Linked DNA regions of Ovis aries. The protein of the gene in region 5 interacts with the protein of the main gene of each other region in a pairwise test. Links are inferred from orthologs where the notes say so. Each region holds a gene or a part of one and is shown on either strand. Other genes may lie near its edges.

The links.
Region 1: the proteins of TLE5 (region 5) and FAM124B interact in binary tests that used the Homo sapiens proteins (3 or more experiments, as listed by UniProt). The two-hybrid records come from large-scale screens. The link is inferred for Ovis aries from reciprocal best matches to the Homo sapiens genes TLE5 and FAM124B.
Region 2: the proteins of TLE5 (region 5) and ZGPAT interact in binary tests that used the Homo sapiens proteins (3 or more experiments, as listed by UniProt). The two-hybrid records come from large-scale screens. The link is inferred for Ovis aries from reciprocal best matches to the Homo sapiens genes TLE5 and ZGPAT.
Region 3: the proteins of TLE5 (region 5) and MTUS2 interact in binary tests that used the Homo sapiens proteins (3 or more experiments, as listed by UniProt). The two-hybrid records come from large-scale screens. The link is inferred for Ovis aries from reciprocal best matches to the Homo sapiens genes TLE5 and MTUS2.
Region 4: the proteins of TLE5 (region 5) and CRX interact in binary tests that used the Homo sapiens proteins (3 or more experiments, as listed by UniProt). The two-hybrid records come from large-scale screens. The link is inferred for Ovis aries from reciprocal best matches to the Homo sapiens genes TLE5 and CRX.
Region 6: the proteins of TLE5 (region 5) and CIB3 interact in binary tests that used the Homo sapiens proteins (3 or more experiments, as listed by UniProt). The two-hybrid records come from large-scale screens. The link is inferred for Ovis aries from reciprocal best matches to the Homo sapiens genes TLE5 and CIB3.
Region 7: the proteins of TLE5 (region 5) and OSGIN1 interact in binary tests that used the Homo sapiens proteins (3 or more experiments, as listed by UniProt). The two-hybrid records come from large-scale screens. The link is inferred for Ovis aries from reciprocal best matches to the Homo sapiens genes TLE5 and OSGIN1.

Annotation. Positions count from the first base shown.
Region 1 is NC_056055.1:226,558,936-226,563,066, forward strand, and holds the start of FAM124B (protein FAM124B), read right to left. Parts: upstream 2,801-4,131; 5' UTR 2,472-2,800; coding exon 1,740-2,471; intron 1-1,739.
Region 2 is NC_056066.1:53,738,011-53,741,339, forward strand, and holds the end of ZGPAT (zinc finger CCCH-type with G patch domain-containing protein), read right to left. Parts: intron 2,428-3,329; coding exon 2,294-2,427; intron 2,076-2,293; coding exon 1,920-2,075; intron 1,383-1,919; coding exon 1,263-1,382; intron 1,174-1,262; coding exon 768-1,173; intron 640-767; coding exon 501-639; downstream 1-500. UniProt on the Homo sapiens protein: Transcription repressor that specifically binds the 5'-GGAG[GA]A[GA]A-3' consensus sequence. Represses transcription by recruiting the chromatin multiprotein complex NuRD to target promoters.
Region 3 is NC_056063.1:31,551,565-31,555,064, forward strand, and holds part of MTUS2 (microtubule-associated tumor suppressor candidate 2), read right to left. Parts: intron 3,027-3,500; 5' UTR 2,783-3,026; coding exon 575-2,782; intron 1-574. UniProt on the Homo sapiens protein: Binds microtubules. Together with MAPRE1 may target the microtubule depolymerase KIF2C to the plus-end of microtubules. May regulate the dynamics of microtubules at their growing distal tip.
Region 4 is NC_056067.1:54,472,884-54,476,987, reverse strand, and holds the start of CRX (cone-rod homeobox protein), read right to left. Parts: upstream 2,801-4,104; 5' UTR 2,762-2,800; coding exon 2,662-2,761; intron 1,932-2,661; coding exon 1,780-1,931; intron 1-1,779. UniProt on the Homo sapiens protein: Transcription factor that binds and transactivates the sequence 5'-TAATC[CA]-3' which is found upstream of several photoreceptor-specific genes, including the opsin genes.
Region 5 is NC_056058.1:18,528,392-18,531,272, reverse strand, and holds part of TLE5 (TLE family member 5), read right to left. Parts: intron 2,234-2,881; coding exon 2,170-2,233; intron 827-2,169; coding exon 782-826; intron 157-781; coding exon 94-156; intron 1-93. UniProt on the Homo sapiens protein: Transcriptional corepressor. Acts as a dominant repressor towards other family members. Inhibits NF-kappa-B-regulated gene expression. May be required for the initiation and maintenance of the differentiated state.
Region 6 is NC_056058.1:6,625,310-6,629,465, reverse strand, and holds the start of CIB3 (calcium and integrin-binding family member 3), read right to left. Parts: upstream 2,801-4,156; coding exon 2,750-2,800; intron 2,506-2,749; coding exon 2,471-2,505; intron 570-2,470; coding exon 458-569; intron 1-457. UniProt on the Homo sapiens protein: Acts a an auxiliary subunit of the sensory mechanoelectrical transduction (MET) channel in hair cells. Plays a role in regulating hair cell MET channel localization and function.
Region 7 is NC_056067.1:9,817,996-9,822,071, reverse strand, and holds the start of OSGIN1 (oxidative stress-induced growth inhibitor 1), read right to left. Parts: upstream 2,801-4,076; 5' UTR 2,704-2,800; intron 2,523-2,703; exon of another isoform or gene 2,464-2,522; intron 947-2,463; 5' UTR 763-946; intron 1-762. UniProt on the Homo sapiens protein: Monooxygenase catalytic activity. Involved in regulation of cytokinesis; promotes RHOA activity, probably acting locally at the midbody in late cytokinesis.

The DNA.
Region 1 (4,131 bases), on a different chromosome or scaffold from region 5:
ATCAGTATGACTCATATTTTATTAATAACTCAAAGCTGATGAGAATAAAATTAATCAAAGGGAAAGATAATTCATCTTTTAGCCTGCTTTTACCTTATCCAGTAGGTCTTAAAGCACTTCCTGACCATTTCTCAAGGACAGGAACTTTGCTGTGAATATCATGTACACCTCCCTGCCCACACACACTTACAGAGTACTGGACTGTGGTGGTTAACTTGCCTGGTTTCAGAGCCAGGTAAACACTTAATCTTGTGTCTTGAGCAAGTAACTGGTACCTCTACTCCTTGGTTTTGCCTTTTGTAAAACTTCCTAGGTTGTAAGAAGGACTAACTAAAATAATCAAAGTGAAGTACTTAGTCTAGGGCATAGTATCAGAGAAGGCAATGGCACCCCACTCCAGTCGTCTTGCCTGGAAAATCCCATGGATGGAGGAGCCTGGTAGGCTGCAGTCCATGGGGTTGCAAAGAGTCCGACGCGACTGAGTGACTTCACTTTCACTTTTCCCTTTCATGCATTGGAGAAGGAAATGGCAACCCACTCCAGTGTTCTTGCTTGGAGAATCCCAGGGACGGCAGAGCTTGGTGGGCTGCCGTCTATGGGGTCGCACAGAGTTGGACACGACTGAAGCAACTTAGCAACTTAGCAGGGCATAATATAAACAATAACAGCTAAAATTGCTTTCTGGGCACTAGCTTAAGCTCTTTATAAATGTCAGGTCACTTAGTTAAATAACAACCTGTCCTCTAGGAAGATGTTATACTACCCTCATTGTGCTAACGAAGGAAACAAGGTTCAAACATCATGGAGCTACTAAGTGGCAAGGTTCAACTGTCACATAATATTGTATAAGAAATGACTTGTGGTAACTGTAATTATGCTTGCTTTCAGTAGGATGCTTACCAGAAGATTTTTTAATTCAAGCTTTTCTCAATTTTGAAGGGTTCTAACCATCTAACTTGATTTGGGATAAAATTTCAGAGTGATGCAAGATACTTAATAGTTAGGTCAACAGGATGGCACGTTTACCATTTGTTGTTGTTATTGTTTTAGTCACTAAGTCATGTCTGACTCTCTGTGATCCCATGGACTGTAGCCCACCATGCTCTTCTGTCCATGGGATTCTCCAGGCAAGAATACTGGAGTGGGTTGCCACTTCCTTCTCCAGGAGATCTTCCCAACCCAGGGCTCGAACCCACGTTCCTACATTGGCAGGCAGATTCTTTATAACTGAGCCACTAGGGAAGCCCAACATACTTAACATTCCCAACTTTAATCATAACTTCAGCTTTCTTAGGTTCACATGGAAAGAACTAACGAAATTTCTGAACTGAAAGAGTGGGCAAAATATTGGTGTCTAGTTAAGGAGCATGGTTACAGGAAAATCTGAAAAATGGGACGTTGTCTGAGTCTACTGCAAACTACTTGTGTAAGTTACCAGCTCACAGCATCCGAACTTCCTCTCCTGTCAGATGAGGGGATTTGATTAAACCAGTGACTCTCAACTGTGCTATAAGTTATATATTAGCATTATCCAAGGAGCTTTCAAAAAATACCCAAGCCTGGGTGCCCCCAAAGATTCCAGTCTAACTGATCTGGAGTGAAGTCATGACATGAGAAGATTTGAAAGCTCCCCAGAGATCCTGGTATGCAAAGAAGGTTGAGAACCACAACATGATTTTGGCTGTCAAATCATACGGCTACACGGGCATCTAGAGATCACAGAGACCAAACAGACATACCTGAAGCAGAATCTTGTTGCCGTCATAGTCCTGTGTTTGCCACCGGGTGCGGCTGATGGGGACGCAGGGATGGGGTAGAAGAGGCACTAATTGGCCAATCTCCTGGACCTTGAACTGCAACACTGAAGCCTCTTTGGGGTCCACCGATGTTCCGAGGGGCAGCTGCTTCAGGGAGAGCTGCAGGGCAAAGGTCTCAGTGGAGTAGAGCACGAAGAAACAGAAGTTGCTCTTTTGCAAGGTGGCTTCTCTCTGCAGGATCATTGCGTAGAGCCGGATGGCATCTTCGTAGTTATCAAAACTGCAGTAGAGTGTCACTCTCAGGATCTCGGTGCCACAGTGCACCTGCCTCACGCCCCAGATGGGCATCTGGCTGTCCAGACTGTAGAATTCCTGATTGGCAAGAATGTAGGGGCAGGGTCTTCCCTGGGCGTTCTGCGTGGGGTAGCACTGCCACGGCCAATGCTGTAGGGAGTCAAGCACGCGGAAAAGCCTCTCTTCGCCTAGGTTCTCCTGCAAGAAAAGCAGAACAGACATCCCCGGGAAGCGTGACCGCTTGGAGTAGCACTTGTCGTAGTATTTCACTGGACTGGCCCGCTCGGACACAAGAAAGAGACGGATATCTGGGCAAATGCAATCTAGGAGCCGATCCAGGGTTTGCTGCAAAAGCAAGCCCTGCCCCGCGTTGGCCAGGAGGTGGACAGTCATGGCCGGGGCCTCCGGTATCTCATCCATCGTGGATGCTGAGGATGACAAAGGATGCTGGCGAATGGGGCCCGCAGGTCCGGCTTCTGAAATGAACTGGAGGGGTGGGAGGTTCCTACATTCAGCCTTCAGCCCAACAGGAAAGCTTCAGGACTTCAGAGCCACGCTCTTATCCTGTATGCCTGGTTGCTGCTGGCCACACTGTGAGAGAATCTCCACAGATTCGGGGACAATAGCCTCCATGAGACACACACCAGCAGCGGGGTCCATGTCATCCAGCCGGTGTATAATGTAACTGCGAGTGCAGGGCTGTGTCAGGCACTCCGGGGTTTCTGTTTGACCTAAAAACCTATAATCCTGAGAAACACTCGAGTGGGTGGTTCTTACAGACACTCGGTAAAGGAAATGACCAGGCAAAAAGGAATAAGAATCGGCTGTGAGAGGCTGATAGCAATCTGTTTAGTTGAAAAGACATCCATTTTCTGGGCCCACAATGGGTTCTGGTTTCCTCCTTCCCTCCCTCCCTGTTTACAGTAGCCCGCCAGGCCACCTGAACACAATGACTGCTTTAAAACAATCCTCCCAACTTGTCCCTTGGCCAGGAATTTTCCCCCTTTGTCTTTTTATTTTCTTCTTGAACAATGGATGCCTGGGCTTTGAAGAGAAGTTACTATATCCAAATAATTTTAACTGTTCACTGAAAATGATTCTCTCTGCTGCCAAGTGTATTCAAAAGATATTTACTCAAGCCCATTCTTTAGAAAGAGTGAGACCTTTCTAAGGTCAATAATAATCTTTGTTCACTCTGTTGAGGATTTACTACATACCAGTCATAAACTGTTCTAGAACTTTACGTAAATTGGTTTAATCCTCCAGCAAACCTATGAAGAGACCATTGTCCCCAAATTACTGAGAAGGAAACTAAGGCACAGAAAAGTCACGTAACTTGCTTAAGGTCTCAGAGCTAAAAGCGGCTGAGGGAACATTTGAATCCAGGAACTGAGTGAGTGGCCCCGCTGTGAGCCAGGGAGAAGGTACCTCTCTGGGACCCAGATGTCCCAGACTGGACTTTCTCCCTGAATATAAGGAAAGGCTGCCCAAGCAAGTTCTCATTAAGGACATTTATTTCTCAGAGACTCTGTGTGCTGTTGAATCTCAAACTGAATAATCCTCAATAAGAACATCCAAGCTCTAAATATACAAACTTCCCTGATGGCTCAGATGGTAAAGAATCTGCAATGTAGGAGACCTGGGTTCGATTTCTGGGTTGGGAAGATCCCTTGGAGGAAGGCATGGCTAATACTCAATAACACCCAAGCTCTAAACATAACACCTACCCTAATGTGTTCTAAATATCCATTTAAAAATCATTAGGAATTCTGATAGCTGTGCTACTAAAAATGTAGACAAGCACATTTTTCTAACTGTAATTTTTAAAAAGCTATTTATTAATGCTTTTAGTGCAATTCAGGAGACCCCAGTTCAATTCCTGGGTTGGGAAGATCCGCTGGAGGAGGGATAGTTTACCCACTCCAGTAATCTTGGGCTTCCCTTGTGGCTCAGTTGGTAAAGAATCTATCTGCAATGTGGGAGACCTGGGTTTGATCCCTGGGTTGGGAAGATCCCCTGCAGAAGGAAAAGGGTACCCACTCCAGTATTCTGGCCTGGAGAATTCCATAGACTGTATAGT
Region 2 (3,329 bases), on a different chromosome or scaffold from region 5:
CCTCCCACCACTGCAGCACCAGCTCCACTCATTTGTGGGTGTCAGGCACTGTGGGGGGGGGGGCATCTGAGGCTGTGACCCACATCTGGGAGAGCAGCAAGGAGGCTCCTGGCTCTGGGTTTGGGCAGGGGCAGCAGGCTCACTCAGGACCCCTCCAGCCCAGCCCTGTGACCTGGCGCAAAGACCCCTACTCCCCAAGGACCCCACAGCCAGTCAAGCCTCCAATGAAATCAGACACTGTGACAAAGTCACTTTAATGTCTTTGCTCACGAGACGCCCCAGGACACTGGCAGGTGGACTCAGTGGGCAGGGAAGCATCAGGAAGGGGCCCCTGCAGCCTGTTTCTGCTCAGCAGTGTCCACGTGCTGGAGGCCAGCAAGAAGGCCCTTTGTGGGGTGTAGCCACAGAGCAGGCTGGCCCTTCTGGTGGCATCCCTGCTGTCTGCCCGAGGGCAGCAGGAGCCGAGGCCCTTCAGTTCCATCCACAACACGTGCAGGGCTCTAGAACTCAGTCATCTTCTTGTGAGTGTCGGCCTTCCTCTGTTCCCGCTGCAAGCCTGCCTCCTGGGCCCGGAGCTGCCCCAGCTGCCGCTGGGCCCCTGCCAGCTTCTCCTGCAGCTGGGTCGTTGTCACACTGTGCCTGGAGAGGGGCCCACATTCAGCACTGCCGTCCGCCTCCAGCCCCTCCTCAGACCCGGCCCGCCGCCCCCAAACTCTCTCAGGGGAAGCTGGGCAGGGGTGAGGTGCCTGGGGCAGGGCCACACATACCGGCCAGCGTTGCGGGCAAGGGCCTCCTGGATGCCCCGGATGGCTCGCTGGGTCTGCTCAATCTTCTCCTCGGTCTGGAGGAGCCGCAGGCTCAGGGCCCGTTTGGTACTCCTGCTGGCATGGTATACCTCCTTGCCACTCCTCCCGGGGGGTGCCGCCCCCACCTCTGGGGCCCCTGGAGCCCCGCCTTTCAGCTTCTCGTTCAGGAAGTCAAACACACTGCGAGGAGGTGGGCGGCCCCCAGGTCCACTCCCTCTGCTCCGGCACTTTGGGGGCTTGCTGACACCAGCCTGGCCAGCCCGGGTTCTCTTCTGCAGGATTTCTGCACACTGGTCTAGTGACTTCCCACGTGGCAGCACCACAGCATGGACGGGCTCCACCCGGCCGTCTGCACGACGGCCCAGACCTAGGGGAACACCAGGCTGGCATTGCCACTGGACCCCTGGGCCATGATGTGGAGTCCCTCCTGTCCCCAGGCAGCACAAGTGCACTCACCCTTGCCAAACTCATAGCCCATCTTGGCGAGGAGTCTGGAGCCAATGCCCCGCGTGTGTACCTCCCAGCCGGCAAAAGCGGAGCTGCAGGTCCCGGGGTTGGCAGCACCAGGTTCCACCACTGCAGGTATCAGAGGGCAGTGGCTTAACCCAGCTAGATGCAGAGGATCCTGGGCTCCAGCCAAGGCTAACCCAAGAGCTCAGCTCTGCACAACCAGCCCCCAGCATCCCCAGCACCCTGCCCAGGGCATGTGGCACAAGCAGAAGGCAGAGCCTAGCCATTTCCACGACCTGGTCACAGGATGGCACCCTTCCACACTCCCTGTTCCCTTGTGGAGAGCAGTCCTCCCCTCCATCAGTATGGACAATGCGGCTAACAGACCCCATGTGGGCACCCCCACCCCTGGGGGGAGGCTAGACACTGACAGCCGATCCTTCATCCAGCTAACAGGTCCCCGTGCCCTGCAGGAAGCTGTTCCTTCCTGTGCATCCCATCCCCTCCCGCGGCTTGCGTGGGACTATGGTTTCTGCGTCTGTGGGTCTCTGGACGTGCCCCAGGTCCATCACACACCCTCGTCTCCCCGGGAGTGTGTCCTTGTACTGACCACAGTGTGGGCCCTGCCAGCCGGGAGCCTCTTGGGGGTGGCAGCAGCCATACCTCGAGCATAGCTGGGGTCGTCTGCATCGCTGCCGTCTGAGTCAGAGGACCCTGCAGGATCTGTGCGCAGTGGGGGCAGGATGCTGTCCCCTTCTACCACAGCCTCTTTCAACAGCAGAGAGTCAAACTTGACTGTGTAGTAGCCGCTGTCTACATCTGGAGGGGCACAGAGGCAGCAGGGCAGCACACGGAAGTAGCCGCTCTGGAAGGTGGGAGCAGGGTGGGGCCAAAACCAAGGGGGCCTTGCTCTTCTCATGTGTGGGGTGGGACCCCAACACCCACCCAGAGGAGGAGTCACGCAGGACTAACACATGTGACACATGAAGAGGGCTTCCTGGGAAGGGCCTGTCAGGGAGGCCCCGGGGCAGCCTCACCAGTGATCCGTGCTGGGTACCACAGACCATCCTGCCGCTTGGCCAGACACGCAGAGCCAGCCTGCAGGGAGCTCAGGTCCGGGTCCTGGAAGGGGCGCAGCTCATCCACTGAGACTACCTGCCCGTGCGAGAACCTGCAGAGAGGGCCGCATAACTCAGGTATGGCCACCAGGGTCCCACAAGCCCAAATAATCCAGTCTACCTGCCTGGACACCGTCCAATGGAGATATGAATGGAGAGAGGGACACATAGGTCCACACAGACATCCACAGACACGCATATAATACACAATTATGCGCATCTACACCGAACACATGTATACACACGCAACATCCACACACACATGTACACATCCACACATATACACTCAACATGTACACACACACATCACACGCACACACACCTACACACATATACATGTATTCACATGCAATATACTCATGCACATATGTACACACACCCAGATGTATACACTGAACATGTGTATAAATGTGTATGCACACCCATACCTATACACGCATACATATATACACAGGCACACGTATAAGTGCACTCATGCACACATGTATGTACACACATGCATGGACACAGAGGCACAGACATCCACACATGCACCATACACAGGCATACACACACTGACTACACACAAGCACACAGATACGTGTATGCACATGTGCGTACACATGCACACGTATGGACACACACACTGTGCTTGTGCTCTCTCAGATGGACCTGGGTGCCCCAAGGACTAGAGGCTTCTGGTTACTCTCCAGCCTCCTGGGCTAGAGTCACCCACACACAGGCACACATGTGGCTGGGAGACACACTTGCGACAACAGTTCCCTGGCACCTCTCCGCTGGACACAACAGGTCATCAAGACAGGGGGTCTGCTTGCGTCACTCGCAGGACTGAGGCCTCCCCAGCCAACTAGGAGGACCTGGTTGTAATGGTGCTGCCTTGTCTTTGTCACTGAAACAGTGACACCAAAACGAAAACCAGGAGAGAGGAGGTGGGACAGGAAGTGTGGGAACAGAG
Region 3 (3,500 bases), on a different chromosome or scaffold from region 5:
GGACTGATGGTGAAGCTAAAACTCTAACACTTTGGCCATCTGATGCGAAGAGCCGACTCATTGGAAAAGACCCTGATGATGCTGGGAAGGATTGAAGGCAGGAGGAGAAGGGGATAACAGAGGATGAGATGGTTGGGTGCCATTGCTGACTCAATGAGCATGAGTTTGAGCAAGCTCCAGGAGATGGTGATGGACAGGGAAGCCTGCTGTGCTGCAGGCCATGGGGTTGCAAAGAGTCGGACACGACTGAGTGACTGAACAACAACAAGAACAATTTAAATGTGGAAGCCAATTTAAACGCTTTTCCAACTTTTATGTATTATGTCAGGTGGAATTTAAAAGAATCCCTTTAGATGTTAGATCCACCTCATTCTGGTCATCAGTCTCTTCCAGAGGAAACCGTTCATTTGCCTGCAATCTGCTCTAGTTCAAAACACGCCTTTCTACACAAATACGTCCATCATCATCTATAATTTGCTAAAAGAGGACACTCTGCTTTCACGATTCATTGAAAACACCTCACGAACTTCAGGATGTTCAACTCACAGACTGTCTCACAATGACATTCTCTTACCTCCTGCAAAAACTTCTCACTCATTGGACTGAAGGGATGTCCTGGGGGCTTGATCCCCGACACCACTAGTCCGGAGCTAAACACCCGGGGCCTCTGGAGGTCTGGCTTGAACTTCTCGTAGAGGCCGGCAGCCGGCTTCAGGTCGGCACCCGCCGCCTTGTCCTCTTTGGGGAGAGCCACGCTGCACGCAGGCGGGGCATAAGGGAGCCCCACAGGAACCAGCGACGCGTCCACCTGGCCGAGAGCCTGCGGGCTCCTCCGGATGTAGGTGATGATCTTGGGCCTCACGTGCTTGGGCTTGGGCATCACGACGGGCCTGGGTTCCGCCCGCTCTTCCCTCTTCTCAACCAGGGGGCCCACTGTCCCCTCCAGTGAGGCGGGTGTGTCCTCAGGACGGGGAAGGCCCCCAGGGCAGGCGTTCTTGGCAGGCACTTTTGGGGAGGTGTGTGACAACCCGGTGCTGTCAGCGGGAGGCAGGGCAGCCGGGGGGGACCCTACATCCACACTTGATGTGCCCAAGTCCTGAAAGCGGCTGCTGGGTGGCGGGGGCTGGCGGGCCACATTCACAGTTGTCTCTGGGTGGAGGGACGCAGGGACACCAAGAAGGACATCTGCCCTCACTGGGGAGGTGCTTTCAGTCTTTACTGCAGGTTCTAGATGGTTCCTGGTCTCTGCAAGAGATAGAGAGACCTCTTGGCCTTCCTCGGCTTCTGAGCGGCTGCTTGGAGGGTTGGGGGGCTCAGGGACCCCGGTTTTGCTCTCTCCAACAGAGGAATCTGAGTCAAAAACCATAGTGTTGACACTGTTCCCACCTCCCAGGACGCCTCTCTCGTCACTGGCAACAGAGGGCTTGCTGTCAGTTGAATCTCCAGGAACAAAAGCTACATGACCATCCCCTGCTGACACGCCGTTGGGCACTGTTTCACCCAGCTTCCGAGCTGCACCTGGCAAACTTATGGCCATGGGTTGCTGATCCGCAGCTTGTGAGGAACCGGGGCTCGATTTGAGGGTGGTTCGGAGAGACCCGTCCTCACCTCCCTTCTCTGGCTCATCTCTGTCTCTTATTGTGTCCAGGGGGTGGGGAACGCTGTGTGCCAGGCTGCTTAACCCAGCAGCTGAGGCTCCTGGCTGCGCCTCCCCAGCTGGCTCCTTTCTCCCAAGAGGTGACATGCCATGCCCCTGACGACACCCCAGCTCGCCCACCTGGGTGGACTTGAGCTCCTGCACAGCCCTGGGCTGGACAGGTTTCAGCTCTGTCTTGGGCTCCACTTTTCCTGGACCCACTTGTGCTTCTGGCCTCCTCAGGACATCCTTTGAGGCTGGAGAGCAATCAAGAGCACCCTCTGGATGGGCAGAAGGTGCTGTGCTCTGGGCGCTGAGCTTGGGTACCCGTCCCCTCTCTGGATGGGTCTCTAAGGGGACGGTCTCCATGGTTACTGAGGTAGATGGTTTAGGATGACGTGCGCCCTTTCCCTCTGAGGTCCCGTCCGCCGGAGGACAAGGCAGCCCTGGAGAAGGGGCTGTCCCCATCTTCGGCGGCCCCTCGCCACCGCCAGGCACCGGATGCGGGGCTTCTGGGGACCCCAGCCCTGTGGGTTGTGGAAGCGGCCAGGCCAGGCCCCCAGCCCACTCCTTTGTGAGCACGTCCACTGCTGCAGCAGAACTGCTGCATCTTTCCAAAGGATGCCTCCTCAGTTCCTCGTTGTCAAGGGTCTTGGCCAACTTATCCTTGGCGACAGGCCAGGGGACATCAGCCTCCCGCTTAGCTGGAACCTCTAGGCTGGACTCGCCCATGACAGTCCTCCGACTCGGCACACCTGGTCCCTGGAGACCACGAAGGACCTGCAGGTGGTCTGCGCCTCTCTCCAGCTCAGACTCTTCATTCCGTTCTCTCTGAGCCATCGGAGAGAATTTAAAATCCTTCAGGCCGGTGGGGCCAGCCTGAGATGCCTTTGCAAAGCCCTGAAGTGGGTGAAACTCCTTCGGGACACGGGGACTACTCTCTGGTCCCCTCGAATTTGCATTTCCAACTTCCTCTGGCACAGCACACGTGGCAGGCTTGTCAGAAGAGGAGCCAACCTCCAACACAATGGGGTTGGCATTGGCATCTCCCAAACTCAGGACTCGGTCGTTATTATTTTTTGCTCCATTTCTGCTGTCCCGCAATTCACTGTAACATGACTTCTTAGGCGCCACGGGAACGCTCATTTTCCAGCCGTCAGTGGGGGCTGCCTGCCATGCAGTCCTCCTTAATGGAAAAGGGTCTCCTTCAAGCTGCTACCTGGAGAAGAGGAAATTCTCAAGCTGCTTGTTGCCCCCTGACAGCGTCACTGGGGCGATCCTGCTTTCATCATTTTCAGAGCAGTCTTAAAACTGAGCATTGTCTTCACACACAGAAGGATGACTTATCTGTTAGGTTCCGGCTGAATGAGAGCCAATTAGTCCATGAGACCTAGAGAGAAATAAAAAGAAAAGTACAGTAGATTGACAGAAACTCTCGGTAAACAGATTTATTCATCACTTTCCTACCATTACTTCATTCACTCAACCCAGATGCTATTTCTCCAGAGCTTTTCTGATAGGGGCACGGCAGAACATAACATCGAAATGATTAATGTTAGAAATGGATTATAAACACACATTAAATCTTAAGTTTATATTTTAAAAATCCACAAGTTCACACTGATACTGATTTAAAAGGGCGGACGAGAAAGGAAGGTTTTTCTTCACAGAAGAATACCAACTGATACAAGAAAAATTAGACAATTAGAAAAATCACCACTTTGTATTCACCAGAGTAATAATTATCTTGGATGAGGGACACCAACGGTTGCTAAAATCACCAAGTGCAGAACTGTTGGGAAACAGGATATTTACACAATCGTAGAGCACCACCCTCCAGACTGCTTTATTTCCTACAAAGGAA
Region 4 (4,104 bases), on a different chromosome or scaffold from region 5:
GGGCGAGAGGGGAGATGAGGGAGGGAGAGTGGGCAGGAGGCCCAGGGGAGCCTTCGTGATGCCCAGGAGTGGTGATGCCTATCGGTGAAGCATGCCAGAGTCATAACTCTCTACTTTGCAATCGGCTGTGGGGCACTCAGGGGGCTTCCCAGGGGGCTCAGGGGTGAAGAATCCGCCTGCCAAGGCAGGAAACGTGAGTTTAATTCCTGGGTCGGGAAGATTCCCTAGAGAAGGAAATGGCAACCCACTCCAGCATTCTTGCCTGGGAAATCCCTTGGACAGAGGAGCCTGGTGGGCTACAGTCCATGGGGTCACAGAGAGTCAGACACGACTGAGCAGCTACACAGCAACATGGGGCACTCTATTCATCCACCACCCACCCAACTATTTATCTACACGATTGTACAGCCACACATACACCATCATATACAATGCACACGATTGTACATGCATACATTTGCGGGCACACACATGGTCACACACATATATCCACATTCTTCCAGCCAATCATATGTACATACCTACTATCATGTAACATACAAATATACTCCTATACATTCATCTGTCCACCGAATCATTCATATATGCATGCAGACATACAGTCATACCTACGCACATTCACCAGCCAATCATAAGCACACACATAACAGTCATGCCTAAGCACAGTTGTAAGTATATACACACAATAATGGGCTTCCCTGGGGGCTCGGATGATAAGGAATCTGCCCGCAATGCAGAAGACCCGGCTTTGGTCAAGGGAATGGCTACCCACTCCAGTGTTCTTGCCTGGAGAATTCCATGGACAGAGGAGCCTGGTGGGCTACAGTCAGTGGGATCGCAGAGTCCGACATGATTGAGAGGCTGACACTTTCACCTCACATACAATGATACATACTTTCATCTTTCCGATCTTATGTACATATGTACACACATTATCATACAAACACATACACATCCATATATACAATCATATATGCATCATACATATATACAATCAAACACACATATACATTTACCCATCCATGCATCCATCCATCCATCCATCCGTTCAGTTATTTAATAAACATGTATTCTTCTACTCCTTTGGGGACACACCAATGAAGCTGACATTCTACTTGAGAGAATGAAAGAAAGAAAGTTGCTCAGTCGTGTCTGACTCTTTGCAACCCCATGGACTGTAGCCTACCAGGCTCTTTCGTCCATGGGATTTTCCAGGCAAGAATACTGGAGTGGGTGGTCATTTCCTTCTCCAAGGGATCTTCCCGACCCAGGGATTGAACCTGGGTCTCCCGCATTGTAGGCAGACGCTTTACTATCTGAGCCACCAGGGAAGTCTTGAGAGAGACAGCATATAAATAAATAGTAAGGAAGGAAATCACATAGAATTTTAGAAAGTGATAAATGCTATGGGAGGACCAATTGAGCAGAGTGAGGGGGAGTAGCAGAGTTGGGATGGCGGGAAAAAGCTGCAGCTTCTAATGCCAAGGGCGGTGGAGGTCTCATTGACTGGCAAGGTGACTAGATTGGTTGATAAACAAAGACTTGAACAGGGTGTAGGGAATATATCTTCCGGGTAGAGGGAACAAAGAGTGTTCTTGGTGGGAATGCTGAAGGAAGGACTGGGGCAGTGCTCATGGAGTAGAATGAGAGGGGATAGGCATGCCAGATAGGAAGCCAGCGAAATTACGGGGATGAGAGATTAACAGGACACTTCAGCCCTTCCTCTGTGACCTCTCCCTCTTTCCTCCGCTCTGGATCCCAGGGACCAGAACACCCCACCTGAACCCTGGACTCAGGCAGGTTGATCTTCAGAGCCACCTCCTCACGGGCATACACATCCGGGTACTGAGTCTTGGCAAACAGGGCTTCCAGCTCTTCCAGCTGGCTTCGCGTGAAGGTGGTCCGTTCCCGCCGTTGCTTTCTCGGGGCGCCTGGGGTGAGGACAGAAAAACAGGACTGCTGGGTGACCTGAGACCCCATTCTCTGCATCTGCTGACGCAAGGTCCTGAGAAGGCATGGGATGCTAACAAGCCTCTTCTGGGCGTTCATCTGCCCAAACTAAGGGGGTGCTGATTCCCTCAACTTCTAGACCTCACTCTGTCCCCCTGGGAAACGGGTTCTCCCTTTGCGTATCCTTAGGGGGGACTCTTGCCTCGCCCCGAGGAGAACTGGCTTTACCTGTGTAAGGAGGTATCTGAGTTTGGTTTTCATCCCCTTTCTAAAATTCCTTCTGCACTAAGACATTCACTTGAAACATGACATTTGGGATATCCAGCCGTTTGGGGATATCCAGCCTATAAAAGAGGCAGGACCGTAATGGTCAACTTAACAAAAGGATAATACCATCAAAAATAGAACGCTTCCTTCGCTAAGAAATAAAGCATCGCTGACAGATGGGAATTCCTCTGGGTCCCCCTTCCAGATGGTTTCCCTCCCTCACCCGAAAGGGAACCACTGTCCTAAATTTCTATGAAGATCCACACGCTCTCCTGCATCCCTAAGAGATGTGGGGTGTGCTTTGCATTTACAGATGAGCCCGTTTGGCTGGTGTATGGCCCTGATGTCATCCTTGTAAGTACCCATCCGCTTCCTGAGGGCAAGGGACTCCAGAAGGTGGGGGCCAGCAGGGGGTGGGGGGGCAGGGAGGATGACTGTACTCACTTGGGTAGGACACAGCTGGGTGCATCAGATCCACACTGGGGCCACTCAGGGCCAAGGCGTTGACGGAATAGTGGGGCCCCGGGTTCATATACGCCATCATGATCTTCGGGGATGCTGGGGCCCAGGTCAGGGGGCCTGCGAGAAAAGGATGGGTGCTCACAAACTCCCCAGTTCATCACCGCCTCAGTCTCTTCCTAGATATGTGACCTTGGGCAACTTATCCCCCCAGTCTGTGCCTGGGTTTCCTCACCTATAAAACAGCCCTCTGCTTAAGGTCGTCAAAGCATCACTGGGACTCTATAAAGCCAAGATCAAAAGCTGTAAGGAGCATTCTAAATGTAAGCTCCTATTCCTACTCTATCCTTTAAAAGATCTTCTGACCAACTCCCTTGTCCAAGACCTTTCCCCCACCCCGTGTGTTAGCGTCAGTCACTCAGTCGTGTCCGGCTCTTTGCAACACGTGGACTGTAGCCCTCCAGGCTCCTCTGTCCATGGGATTGTCCAGGCAAGAACACTAGAGCGGGTTGCCGTGGCCTTCTCCAGGAGATCTTCCCAACCCCTAGGACCTCAAAAAAGATGTTCAGCCTCACACAGAATCATGGCAAAGTAGGGAAACTGGTTGTCTCAGTCTGCCGGGGATAGAGAGCTTTCTAGGGGTATGGGATTTCAGTGACAAATCTGAAAACTCCCAGACAAATCAGGATGGTTAGTGACCCCAAGGGAGTCACAGTCAAATGACAGCAAGTAATGATCTCCCATGACTATTTTTGACCCCATCAAGTTGGCAAAGATCAAAGAGGCTTGGTAACTCCAGGGATGGCCTCAGAACAGGCTACTTGTGTCAGACGGGCGACAGTGTGGATGGAACAAACTGCAAACATTTATCAAAGAAAAATGCCGTCTTTCCTTGGTCCCAGCAATTCACCTTCAAGGTGCCTCAGCCACCTCATCAGAAGATGGGAACCAACAATACAGCTTACATCTTTAGGTCGATGTGAGGGTCAAATGAATTATTGTGCATCTGATACTTAAAATAGCACCTGACTCGCAGCAAATGCTACAAACCTGTGGTGGTTATTATTATCTGCAAGCAGACGTTTGCACAGACTTTATGCTCGGATACTTCTTATTGGAGTATAGTTCACTTACAATGTCGTGTTAGTTTCTGGTACGCAGCAAAGTGATTCAGTTCTGTATTTCTTTAACGTTAGTTTTCACTACAGGTTATTACCAGAGCGTGAATAGAGTTCCCTGCGCCATACAGTAGGTCTTTGCTGTTTCTCTCCTTTATATATCATAGTGCGTTTCTGTCAATCCCAAACTCCTAATTTACCCCTCCCCACCCAAGCTAGGATTTTTAATGCAGCATATTTATAATTGCCGCAATGTGGAAGCACCCTATACATCCACCAAAGGAGACATAGTAAGTAAGTTATGGAATTT
Region 5 (2,881 bases):
TGCCCTGGGGCACACAGATGCCTACAGAGGGGTGGGGCTGAGGGAAGTTCAGGGTCTATCTCCTCCCAGCAGACCCCCGGGGGCTCTGCTCACCTCTTGGGACAGGTAGGGCAGGACCTGGGCACATATCCCATTTAGCCTCTTGACGATTTCAGCCTGGAACAGACAGACACTTCAGCCCTGGGCAGCAGCCAGCCAGGGCAGGTGCAGACCAGCCCTGGAAAGCCCAGCGGTTCTGTCTAATCCAAGAGGAGGCCGGCAAGTCCCAGGATCATATCGACTCATCAGGCCCATGGGCACCCGATCAGCAGCAAAAGTGGCCCCGGGGGCTGAGTCTCTGAGGGTAGCTAAGAGCCCAGGACAGAGCGAAATCCAGGCCCAGTGGCTTGGGGTCTGGGTGGCCCTGGAAAGATGCCCGATGCCTCACAGGTAGTGAGCATTCCGTGAGAGGGAGGGAGGAAGAGGTCGGGGCAGCTGGCATCAGAATTCTCTAACACACCTGAGATAGGGTTTGGAGGGTGGGTTGGCAGGTCATATCACCCCCCTCCCCCAGGGCTGTCACAAAAGAGAGACAATGGAGTGAGGGTGGCAGGTCCTGGGAAAGCCTCTGCCCTCCCCCTCAGGGAGAGCAACCTCCCAGGGAGGCCTGAGAAAGAACAGAAGTGGGGGGGCTCCGGAGGTAACAGGATACCAAGGCAGTCTTGGTTCTCAGCCAAGGGGTGGCGGGTTCCTACCTGCCTGGGCGGGGCAGGGGGGCGGAGGAGGGGGGAAGGGGGCATACCTGCTTGTGCATCTCGATGTTCAAGCCATAGGACATCTCGTAGTACTGTGTAGGGGGGAGACAGAAATGGGGGTGGGTGAAGGATGTGAGGTTCCAGAGACAAAAGACACAGGGGAAGTGACAGAGAGAGACAAAGAGGGGGAGAAAGAGAGAGGTAGGAGGAGGGGAGGGCAGGCGAGAGAGATGGAGTCGGAAGCGGGGAGACACCCACACCTGGAGCTGGGGCCCAGGTGCCTGGTGAGGATGCTAGGGACGCCAGTGGGGCCCTGAATGCCCCATTTCTGGAATAATGACCTCAACCCCTACACACACACACACACACACACACACGCACGCACGCACGCACACACACACGCACACACACACAGGCACACACACACTCCAAGGCTCCTAATCTTTTATCTTTATGTGTCTTGTCTGCGGGTGGCCCCGGACTCCAGGGAAGTTTGTCTTCCTGGGTATAAATAATCGAGGATAAACAAATCCTGTTGGGTCTGCCTTTGGGGCCAGCGCCCCCCCTCCTCATGCCCCACATCTGACCCTGCACCTCCCCTGCTCTAAACCTTCCTATGACTCCCCATCACCCCCCAGGGAAGATAGGGGGAGAAAGCCAGGTTTGTGTGGTCTCCCCTTCTCTGCCCAGCTGGCTCCTATCCATTCATCAGGACCCCAGCTGCAGTGCCTCCTTCTCCATGCAGTCTTTCTCCAAACAGGAGCATACCCTTCTGGAGTGCCCCAGCCCCATCCCTCTGAATCCAGAGGTTCCTTGTCCAGCTCTGCCTCCCCCATGGCCTGGGGGAAGTGGGCTCTGGGCTGGGCTTAGGCAGGGGTTTTGATGCAGAAATCACCACCTGGTGCATATGAAGCGAAGCAAGTGATTCCAGCAGTGTGCAGGGGCAGGGTCTCCAATGTCAGGCCCAAGAAGGAAGTGTCACCCCCTCCCTCCCTTCCACCCACCCACCTCAAAAGAGTGTCAGCCTCCTGCCTGGGGAAGGGGGCCCTCCAGGAGTCCTCCTCCAAGCTTGGACTAGGAGGGGTTAAGCCTGGGATGCTTAGACAGTGGGGGTGGGGAGGGGAGGGATCAACAACCCCCCTCTAACCCCAGTTCCTGGCTTTCACAGCCACTGGCTCCTCCGCTGCCAAGGACAGCCAGGGACCTGGCAGGCCCAGGCCGCAACCCGGTGGCTTGGCACCTCGGCCACTGCCTGGGCCGGCAGCCAGGCCAACAAGATTAACTCAGCCCGGCCAGGGGCTGGCTGAGCGGAGAGCAGACCCTGACTTCTCGCACATCCCAGAGGAGATGGCCAGGGTTCAGACAGCAGCTGCCAGTGCTGGAGGGGGACCTGGGGTCCTCTGGCCCTGCCCACCAGACCCCCGGGCTGGCTTACCATCACGTAATGACGCTGCATTTCTGACTTCTCGCTGGCCAGCTTGTCACATTCGAGTTTCAGACTGAAGAAGAAGAGGGGGAGGGCCAGGGCTGGGATGATGTCCCCCTCATTGTGCAAGGGAGCCCCAAACTTTGGTGGGGGTCAGAGAGAAGAGGGGGGAAGGGGACCCAAAGGTGCCTTAGCTGGAAACTGGGGATGATGAAACCCACCTTGAAGATGTGGGGGTGGAGAAAGCAATGAAAATAATAAAAACAGAAGTCAGAGCAAATATCCTGACTGTAGGTCAGACAGGGATTCAAAGAAACTTTTTCCTATCATGAAATCCAACGAGGTCAGGGCTGTTAACGTCAGTCTCCTTCATAAAAATGATGCAATGGATGCTCAGAGAGGTTGAGTGAACAGGCTCAAGGTCACACAGCCAGGAAGCTGGCTTCAAAGGCCATACTCCCACCCACTGGGCAAAACTCTCCAGCAAAGAAGGAATAAACAGACATTGCTGAGAGGTTACAAGGGCCCAGAGCCCACTGGCAGGGCTCTGGACTGAATTCAGTAAGGAATCTTCAAAGGCCCCCAGCCCATCTTGTGACCTCTGATTTCCATGGTTGGGGGAGGGGTATAAATTTCTATCACTGGATAATAGAGCTGGTGATCCCCCTCCTCTCTTGGGTTGCCCCAGCAAGGATGAGCTTTGGATATTTCTCAAAGGCCC
Region 6 (4,156 bases), about 12 Mb from region 5:
GCCGGTGCTGGAGACATAAGAGACGCAGGTTTAATCCCTGGGTTGGGAAGATCCCTTGGAGGAGGACACAGCAACCCACTTCTAATATTCTTGCCTGGAAAATCCCCATGTACAGAAGAGCCTGGCGGGCTTACAGTCCATAGGGTTGTAAAGAGATGGACATGCCTGAAGAGACTCAGCACGTACTCAGCGCAATGTTCCTAAGTACTTGCCATGTCACAGGCCCTGTGCTAAGCCCTTTACCTGCATTATCTCATCTCATCTTTCCCACAACCCAGGGTTTGAATTGTCTCTCTCATGTCCTAGCTGTGTGATCATAAATAAGTGTCTCAACCTATCTGAAATTCAGTTTCTTCACCTGTAAAATAGAAATAATTGCAATAGTCACCTCATAGAAATACAACAAGGGACATCCCTTCTATTTTTTCCCATGCCTGCCCCAGGGCCCTGGGCATACCTTCAGCTCAGGCATGCTGCCAATGAGCTCATAGGGCACCTTCACATCAGGGCAGCTAGTATAGTCGAGAGGGACAAGCTGAGGGGCCAGGTCCTGGTAGCGATAGAAGAGCCTGGTATGGGGAGGGAAACAATGAGAAGGTCTGGGAGATGAGTGAGGGTGGGCTTGTCTCTACTCTCTCCCTTTCACAGATGCTCACTCTACAATGAAGGATGCTGAGCCTTCAGCCCTGGGCCCAGCCCTCACACACAGGGACACCTTTATCTCCCTAGGGACAAAGCCAAGGTAAAGACAGGACCCCAGGGACTTCCCTGGAGGTCCAGTGATTAAGAATCCACCTGCCAGTGTGGGAGACACAGGTTTGGTCCCTGGTCTGGGAAGATCCCACATGCCATGAGGCAACTACTGAGCTCATACACCACAGCCACTGAAGCCCACGCACCTGTGAACCCATGCTCCCAAGAGAAGCCACCGCAGTGAGAAGCGCACATATCACAACTAGAGAGTAGCCCCTGCTCACCAAAACTGGATGAACCTCCACAGCAACCAAGACCCAGAGCAGCCAGAAAATCAATTCATTGCTTTTAAAATGTTAAAACAAACAAACAAACAAACAAAGCTAGGGGAAACTGGAGTGGGGAAAGTAAGCCAAGGAGAAGGAAGGACTTCCTGGAGGAGGGGGCATGGGTGCTAGGTGCTGGGCTTTGAAGCACAAATAAGAGCTCACCAGGCAGATGGGGTTGACAGAAAAGAGAGTGCTTAAGGCAAGGTCATCTCACACTGAGCATTCAGAGACTCTGAGTGAATCTACGATTTGCTGGACATCATCACACTGTTGGCAAGACCCTCATCCTCACACTTTCCCTCTCTGCCTCCATAATGGGGGTTGTAGTTCCCTCAAGGCGCCAGAGACAAAGTCTAATATTCAGGTTTCTCCAAGGGGTAAATGAAAGGCATTTTGCAAAACAGCAAAGGCCATACACACTGCCTAGATGGTGGGGTCAAGTGTCTACTCCAATGCCCTTGCCTGGTGATACTGTACCGTCACTGGAACATGCTGAGCAGTCACCTTGTACAGACTATCCTTGATGAGCCAGAGATCCTGAAGTTGTTAGGGATGCCTCAGAAGGTGATAGAAGCCATATGATGGCTAGGAACTGGAAGAGGGGGGTATCTGGAACTTCACCGCTGGGTCCCTTCAGAGAATAGTCTGGGTTTGGGTTTCTATGTGGCCTCGAGTAAGTCCCCCTTCCCCTTTTCCCCCTTTCTGCTCAGTAGGTCTGTGTGAGAAGCAAGAAGCTTGAGATGCACAAAATGTTAGCCTCAAACTCTTTGGGGCCCTACCCATCTACCCAGGGCTCTGAGGTCAGCCTCCCCTGTGTGAGCCTCAGTTTCCCCATCAGTAATCTGATCATGATGGTCAGGGTGACCCTGTGAACTGTCCTCGCCAAGACGGTGGGGCTTACTAGTGGAAATTCTGCCCATCAATAATGGATGTCCTGCACCCACACAATTGGGACCTTGGCCCTGATCACTCTGCAGTCAAACCCCAGCCAACTTGGGTTTCACAGGTCAAAGTTCATGGGTCCGGAATCTGGATAATGGTTCCATGGGCTGAGTGATGCTGTAGGATAACCCCTCCATGCCTGTCTCACTCACACCAGGAACCTGCAGCAGCCTGGGGCCACCTCTTCACCCTCTAACCTTGATGTCAACCCCATTGCCCAGAGCTGGCTCTAGACTCTGCCCCCTGGGGTCCCAGCCTGTTCTCACTGGGCCTCAGGGGGAAGTTTTGATCCACATCGCCCCTGCTCACACACTCTCTATGGCTCCCTGCCACCTTTCGGAGAAAGCCCAAGCCTGTCAGCCTAGAGATGTGGCAATAGGACCAGATGGGACTTCTCAGCAGCCTTCCCATCTCTGCATGCATCCACCAACTGAGCACACGATTCCCCCATTAACTGCAAAGCATATAAAGTGCCCAGCTCTTCTTCCCTTCCTCCTCAGACTGACCTCATGATTTCCTTTCTCGTGAAGAAGGTGCAGTCCTGTGGAGAGAGATGTTGGCTTAACCCAGACCCTGCCTGATGCCTGGCGGGGGGGGGGGGGGGGGGGCGCCTCCTTCCTCTCCCACAACCCATTGCTGCCTGAATCCACACACAGAGCCACCCCAAGACCTCTTGCTGACTGCACCCCCACCCCACCAGGATGAAGGGATGCTGTCCCCATTTCTTCAGCCAAGAAAACAACCAGGCTGCCAAACCCACCGATGGCTTGGTCCATCATCCCTACCTGATAAGCTTCCAGTTGCTCGTGAGTGAAGACTGTTTGCTTGTTGCCCATAGTGGAGACCTCTGCCTGGACTCTTGAACAGGCTCCCGAAGCCCCCCGCCCCGATCCCCTCAGGGCCACCCTGGTTGCCAGGCCGCCGTTCACCAGTGTCTGGGCAAATCTCCCTGCCCTGGCTGTCACCTGCCCACCCTCCTCATCACCCCCAGCCTGGGTGAGACTCAAGTTACAGCCAAGCTCTCTGGGCAACGGCCTGAGTATATGTCCACAGCCATCAGGGCAAGGAGAAGGGCTTAGGGAGGTCCCAGGGCAGCCCTCAGTGGGGAGCCCACACTTGCCATCACCAGTGAGACTGGGGGTGTGGGGCATCTTTGAGAAACAGGCAGGGTGGGGGAGAGGCTGCCAGCACACTTCAGGCCAAATTCCAGCTCTTTACCCACTAACTGTGTGGTCTTAGGCGGGTCACCTGGCCTCTCTGAGCCTTGTTTGTAAGATGGAAATTATATTAGTACCTACCGCATAGAGTAGTAAAGAATCTGCCTGCCAAAGCAGGAGACTTGGTTTCAATCCCTGGGTCGGAAAGATCCCCTGGAGATGGAAGTGGCAACCCAATCCAGTATTCTTGTCTGGGAAATCCCATGAACAGAGGAGTCTGGTGGGCTACAACCCATGGGGTCGCAAAGATTCGGACAAGATTTAGTGACAAAACAACAATAACATAGAGTTGCTCTGAAGATCTAATGAGATCATTCGCTCAACTTCCCCAACCAACAAAAAAATATTTGTAACCATTGAATTTAAGCCAGTTCTAGACCCATGATAGTGAACAAGCTAGACGAGGTGTGCATTGGAGATGATGATGAGCATGTTATGGCTTGAGAAAAGCAATCTAATGTCTAAGTTTGGGTTAAATTAACACCATAGTTCTTTATTGCCGGACTTGTCAGACCCTTTAATATGTTAATGTGCACCATGTATTCTCAAGGGGTAAATTCAGTAATTTCCCCTACATATTGAATGAATTTCATTCCAAGAGCACGTTCTTAAGTCCAATTCATTCATTAAGTCCAACAAAGTTCGTCGAAGCACTCAACTAATACAATTGGCTTTTTGTACTATTCATACAGTAATAATACTTTTCACACAAATTGCACATAAAAAGCAAACACACAAGATACAACATTTCAAGTCCTACAGCACAGTACCTTGAAAAGTACAGTAGTACAGTACAATAGCTGGCATACAGGGGCTGGCATCAAATGAACAGTCAGGAAGAGTAGCCGACTGGAGGAGGGAGAGGAGGTGAGATGTGGTGAAGCTGGAGGACTATCAGCAATAGGAGATGGAGGGCAAGCTGCAATCTCACTCCCGTCTGACATCGATGGCACCGATTCTGATTCCTTGCTGGAG
Region 7 (4,076 bases), on a different chromosome or scaffold from region 5:
CCCAGACCGCCCCGAGCAGCCAGGGATGGGAGCCTGGCATCACCCGCCTTCAGAATTCTTCCAGGAAAAAGCTTAAATCCGGATTTTTATGTGAATTCCCTGATTTGGAAGAGTATGCAACTGATTCACGTTTTTTGCAAATCTTGAACGGGCTGAGGGAGCACGACCGAGGCCAGCGTGGGACCTCTGATGTGCCAAGAGTGACAGCAACACCAGTGTCCCCCACCGGGCGGGGAGGGGACAGCCGGGGGGTCTGGCCAGAGGACCTGGGTGTCGCTGCCACGGCACTGACAACGGGCCCGCCCACAGCCTTTACAGTTTGCAAGGAGAGGAGCTTGCAGCTAAGCCACAGCATCTGTGCCCCGCAGGCACCTGGAGAGGCGGGCGCCGTCATCTCCGGCTGGCAGTTGAGCGGGGGGGGCTTGGAGGCAGCAGTGTCACAGGGGGGTGTGCCCTCTGGTCTCCAGAGAACCGCCTCAGTGGGGCCTGGGCCATGAGCTGTATCCCCCATCAGGGACCCCTTGCCCCACTCCACTCCTGGTTCCCTGCAGGGACCCCGCTGTCCGCTCTGGGGTGACACCACAGCCACATAGAACAACCAACATTTCTGAACTTCTGCGGGCTGAGCCGGGTGCTGAGCATGCCCTGAACACTTGACGCACATTCACCAACTTAACCCACATTTAACCGGGTTGTTAGAAGTACTCTCACGACCGCACCCATATTACAGATGGGGAAGCTGAGGCCCAGCAAGTGTCTCACCGTCCTGGATGGCTTGCGGGGAATTTGCCACAAGGGGTGCCGGCTCAACTGGTTTTGAGCCTGGGCTGCTCTGTGCGAGGGCCTTCTCGTGCCCCCCGAGGCAGTGTGACAGGGTGTCACGGGGTGTGACAGCGTGTGATGGAGGCCCCTCCAGGCTGAGTGCAGCTCTGTCCCAGTGCTCCACCTGGGGGGGGGGGGGACAGCGTCTCACTGGCCAGCCGCTGGGTGTGCCGGTGGCCCTGGGGCAGGGGCTGTGGTTCCTAGAACACTCCCTTCACACAAGCCCAGGGCTCCACGCTGATGTCCTCACTGTCCCCAGGAACAGGTGACATCCTTGTCACGACATCCTTTCGCATCGGCGCCTTTCATCCTCAGGGAAAGCACTCTACAGACGAGCAAACTGAGGCTCAGGGCAGTGAGGCCACGCCCCCGATGTCAGAGAGCCAGTGGATAATGAATCAAGAGTTTGGTCCCTAGACACCCCACAGCCTGCCACATGGGGTACCCACAGAGCGCCCACCCCAGGACAAGTCATTTTCTGCCCTGTCCCTGTGAATCCTCCCAGCGCCAGTAAGAGGGGTGTTTGCAGGAGCCCCCGTTTATAGACAAGGAGGCACTGCAGGCTGCCTGTCTTCACGCTCCCAGGAGGGAGAAGGCCCCATTCACCACCAGGGCTTTTGGACCCCACGTCCAGTGCTCATGCCAGAAACTTCTGGATGCCACACGCATGAGGTCACCACCCAGAGGCTGACCTGAGCGGTTGCTTCCTGCACCGCAATACACAGGGCCCAAGTCCCGAGACTTGGAGCTCTCAAAACCTCCTCGGAAGAGTGCACGCTGCCAACTTTCCATTTGAAAGTGTAACTTCCTATTTCTCACACACTGTTTAGTTTTGGGGAGCTGGGAAGGTCAGTTTCCAACGTCCCTCTGGTTGAAGACGGCAAATGTTGACATTAAAAAGGCCTTCAAGTTCACAGGAGAAAAGCAGCGTAAAAGAAATGGGAATAATTGCACCTTCCTGGGTGTGGAGCGTAGAGTTTGGAGCATTGCAATTTCTAGGGTTATTGAAGATTACACTGCTCTAAGGCTTAGGACACCTGTATGGCTACATTTACTGAGCACCTGCGGTACTTTTGCTCATTTCACTTTAATGACAACCCTCCTACCCCACCCCGTGGATTTTTTTTTTTTCTGTTATCCCTATTGCCCAAAGGGAAAAACTGGGGTCAGGAGGGTGGTGTCTTTTCCAGGAATGTCAGAGACCACACCCCAAACCCTGCCCTGTGACACCTGTCGGAGTCCCCTCTGAGGAAGATGACACAACAGTGCCCCCAAGAAAGTGCCGTGAGGCCGGGGCAGAGGAGGATGGGGAGGTGCTCCGCCAGCCCAAGTGCCACCTGCCAGTCACCAGAGTGAGCCCTTGGCCTCTGCACCCACCCCCTGATACCAGTGCCCCCAGAGCCTCCCTCATCTGGAGCCCCAAGAGCTCTCCAGACCCTCTGAAACTCCACTCCTCATTCTCGGTACCCCCAACCCTCCTGTGAGAAGCCAGGTCCCCCTCGACCCTGGGGGCTCGGTCCGTGAGAACAGGAGAGGCGGAGACGGAGGGCAGCACCCAGCCTGCCCGCGGGACCTGGTCAGCCGGCCTGGGCTGGCCACACCTCTCTTTCCTGCCTGGAGTAGCATCACGTGGGCTGAGGTGAACTCCCAGCAAGCCAGCCGGCAGGGCAGCTGTCAGCGAGGGTGCCAGGCACCTGGAGGTGGGCATGGCCAGGAGGGGGGGAGGAGGATCTCGGGGGTTGGGGGGGGGTCATGCTGGTCATGGGGAGCCGGGGTGGTCCGCCCTCAGGACCGCCTGGGGTCCCCTTGCCTGGCCCCAGGGCCCTGCCCGGGTCGGGCTACCTTCTCCCACCTCCCCCAAGCCTCGCCCGGGTCACTCACCTGACCGGCCGGGGTCGAGGACACTGGGGAGCGCGGTCAGGCCTCTCGGAGAACCTGGGTCAGGGAGCCGGGTTACCCCGTAGGGATTCAAGAGGGTGCGAGAGACGGGAAGCCCGGGTATTTCAGGGGCTGGGAAGAGGCGGGCGGAGGGCGGGGCCAGGAAAATCACTTTCATAAGCGTGAGTCAGCAGGGGCCCCTGGATGAATGAACTTGCACACTTGAGGGCGAGCGGTCACGTTGCCAGCCCCGGGGGACGGCCTTAGAGGGCCCACCCCGGGGTGGTCCATGGCGAGGAGGCGGGGCGGACACCGGCCGGGCTGAGCCAACCTGGCCTTTCGCCTTTTAGGGAGGCGGAGACAGTCCCGCCCAACGTACCATCAAGGCGGTCGCTTTGAGTGGAGAAAGTCCCGGTTCTGCTGGGGGTCTCCGCGGTTCTCCACCCCACGCCCCCTCCTGGCTCGGCCCCAGGCTGGGAGCCCCGCCCTGCCCGCTCCTGGGTGGGCTGCCTCAGTTCCCCCGTCTGCGAGGGGGGCCATGCGGCACCTCTCCTTCCTGGGTGACCGTGCTGTTTCGGTGACTGTGCCTGAAACAAGGCTCAGAGCTCCTTTTCTTCATTCCAGCCCCCCACCTCTCCGTCTTTAGCCAGGAGCATTGCATACCTCACGTTCTGCTGATCCTTATGGATTTTGTTATATTATCGTCTCTCCCCAAACCGGGATGTGGATTCTGTATGGTGCGGGAAGCATCTCTACGTCTGTTCTATCCCACGTCTGGGAGGGCACTCAGCACAGTTAGGGCGCTCAGGAAAGGAAAGTCGGGAGGAAGTGAGGGCAGTGCTTGGCCTATAGACTCAATGCCTATTAGCTGTTATTTCATTTTTCATGCGATTGTCACCTCTCTTACCTGGAGACTTTCCTGCCAGCCCTGCCCTGTGAGGGGGACCAGGGATATGTTTTGCCCCACTACCGCTGGGACCAGGGTGAAGCAAGAAGGTCCTCACCTTGTGTACAGCATTTAAGGGGAAGCCCCAAAACACTCAGAGATCAAGAAAAAGAGCATTTTGATGCAATTGAAAAAAAAAAATCAAAATTAATGCCCAAATGGTACTTCCCCGGCGGTCCAGTGGTTAAGACTGTGTTCCCAATGCAGGGGCACAGGTTTGATCCTGGTCAGGGAACTAAGATCTCTCATACTTCATAGTGCAACCAAAGAAAAAAAAGATTAAAAAAAATTAATGTCCAAAACCCAAGATGAACAAAATTGTTAAAACTTCAGACAAAGGCAGTATCTCTAACCAGGCCATGCTGAGCAGTACCGGAACCTGCTGCAAAAATCAGATGCTGATGCTGCCTTTATTTAACACTTTGATGTT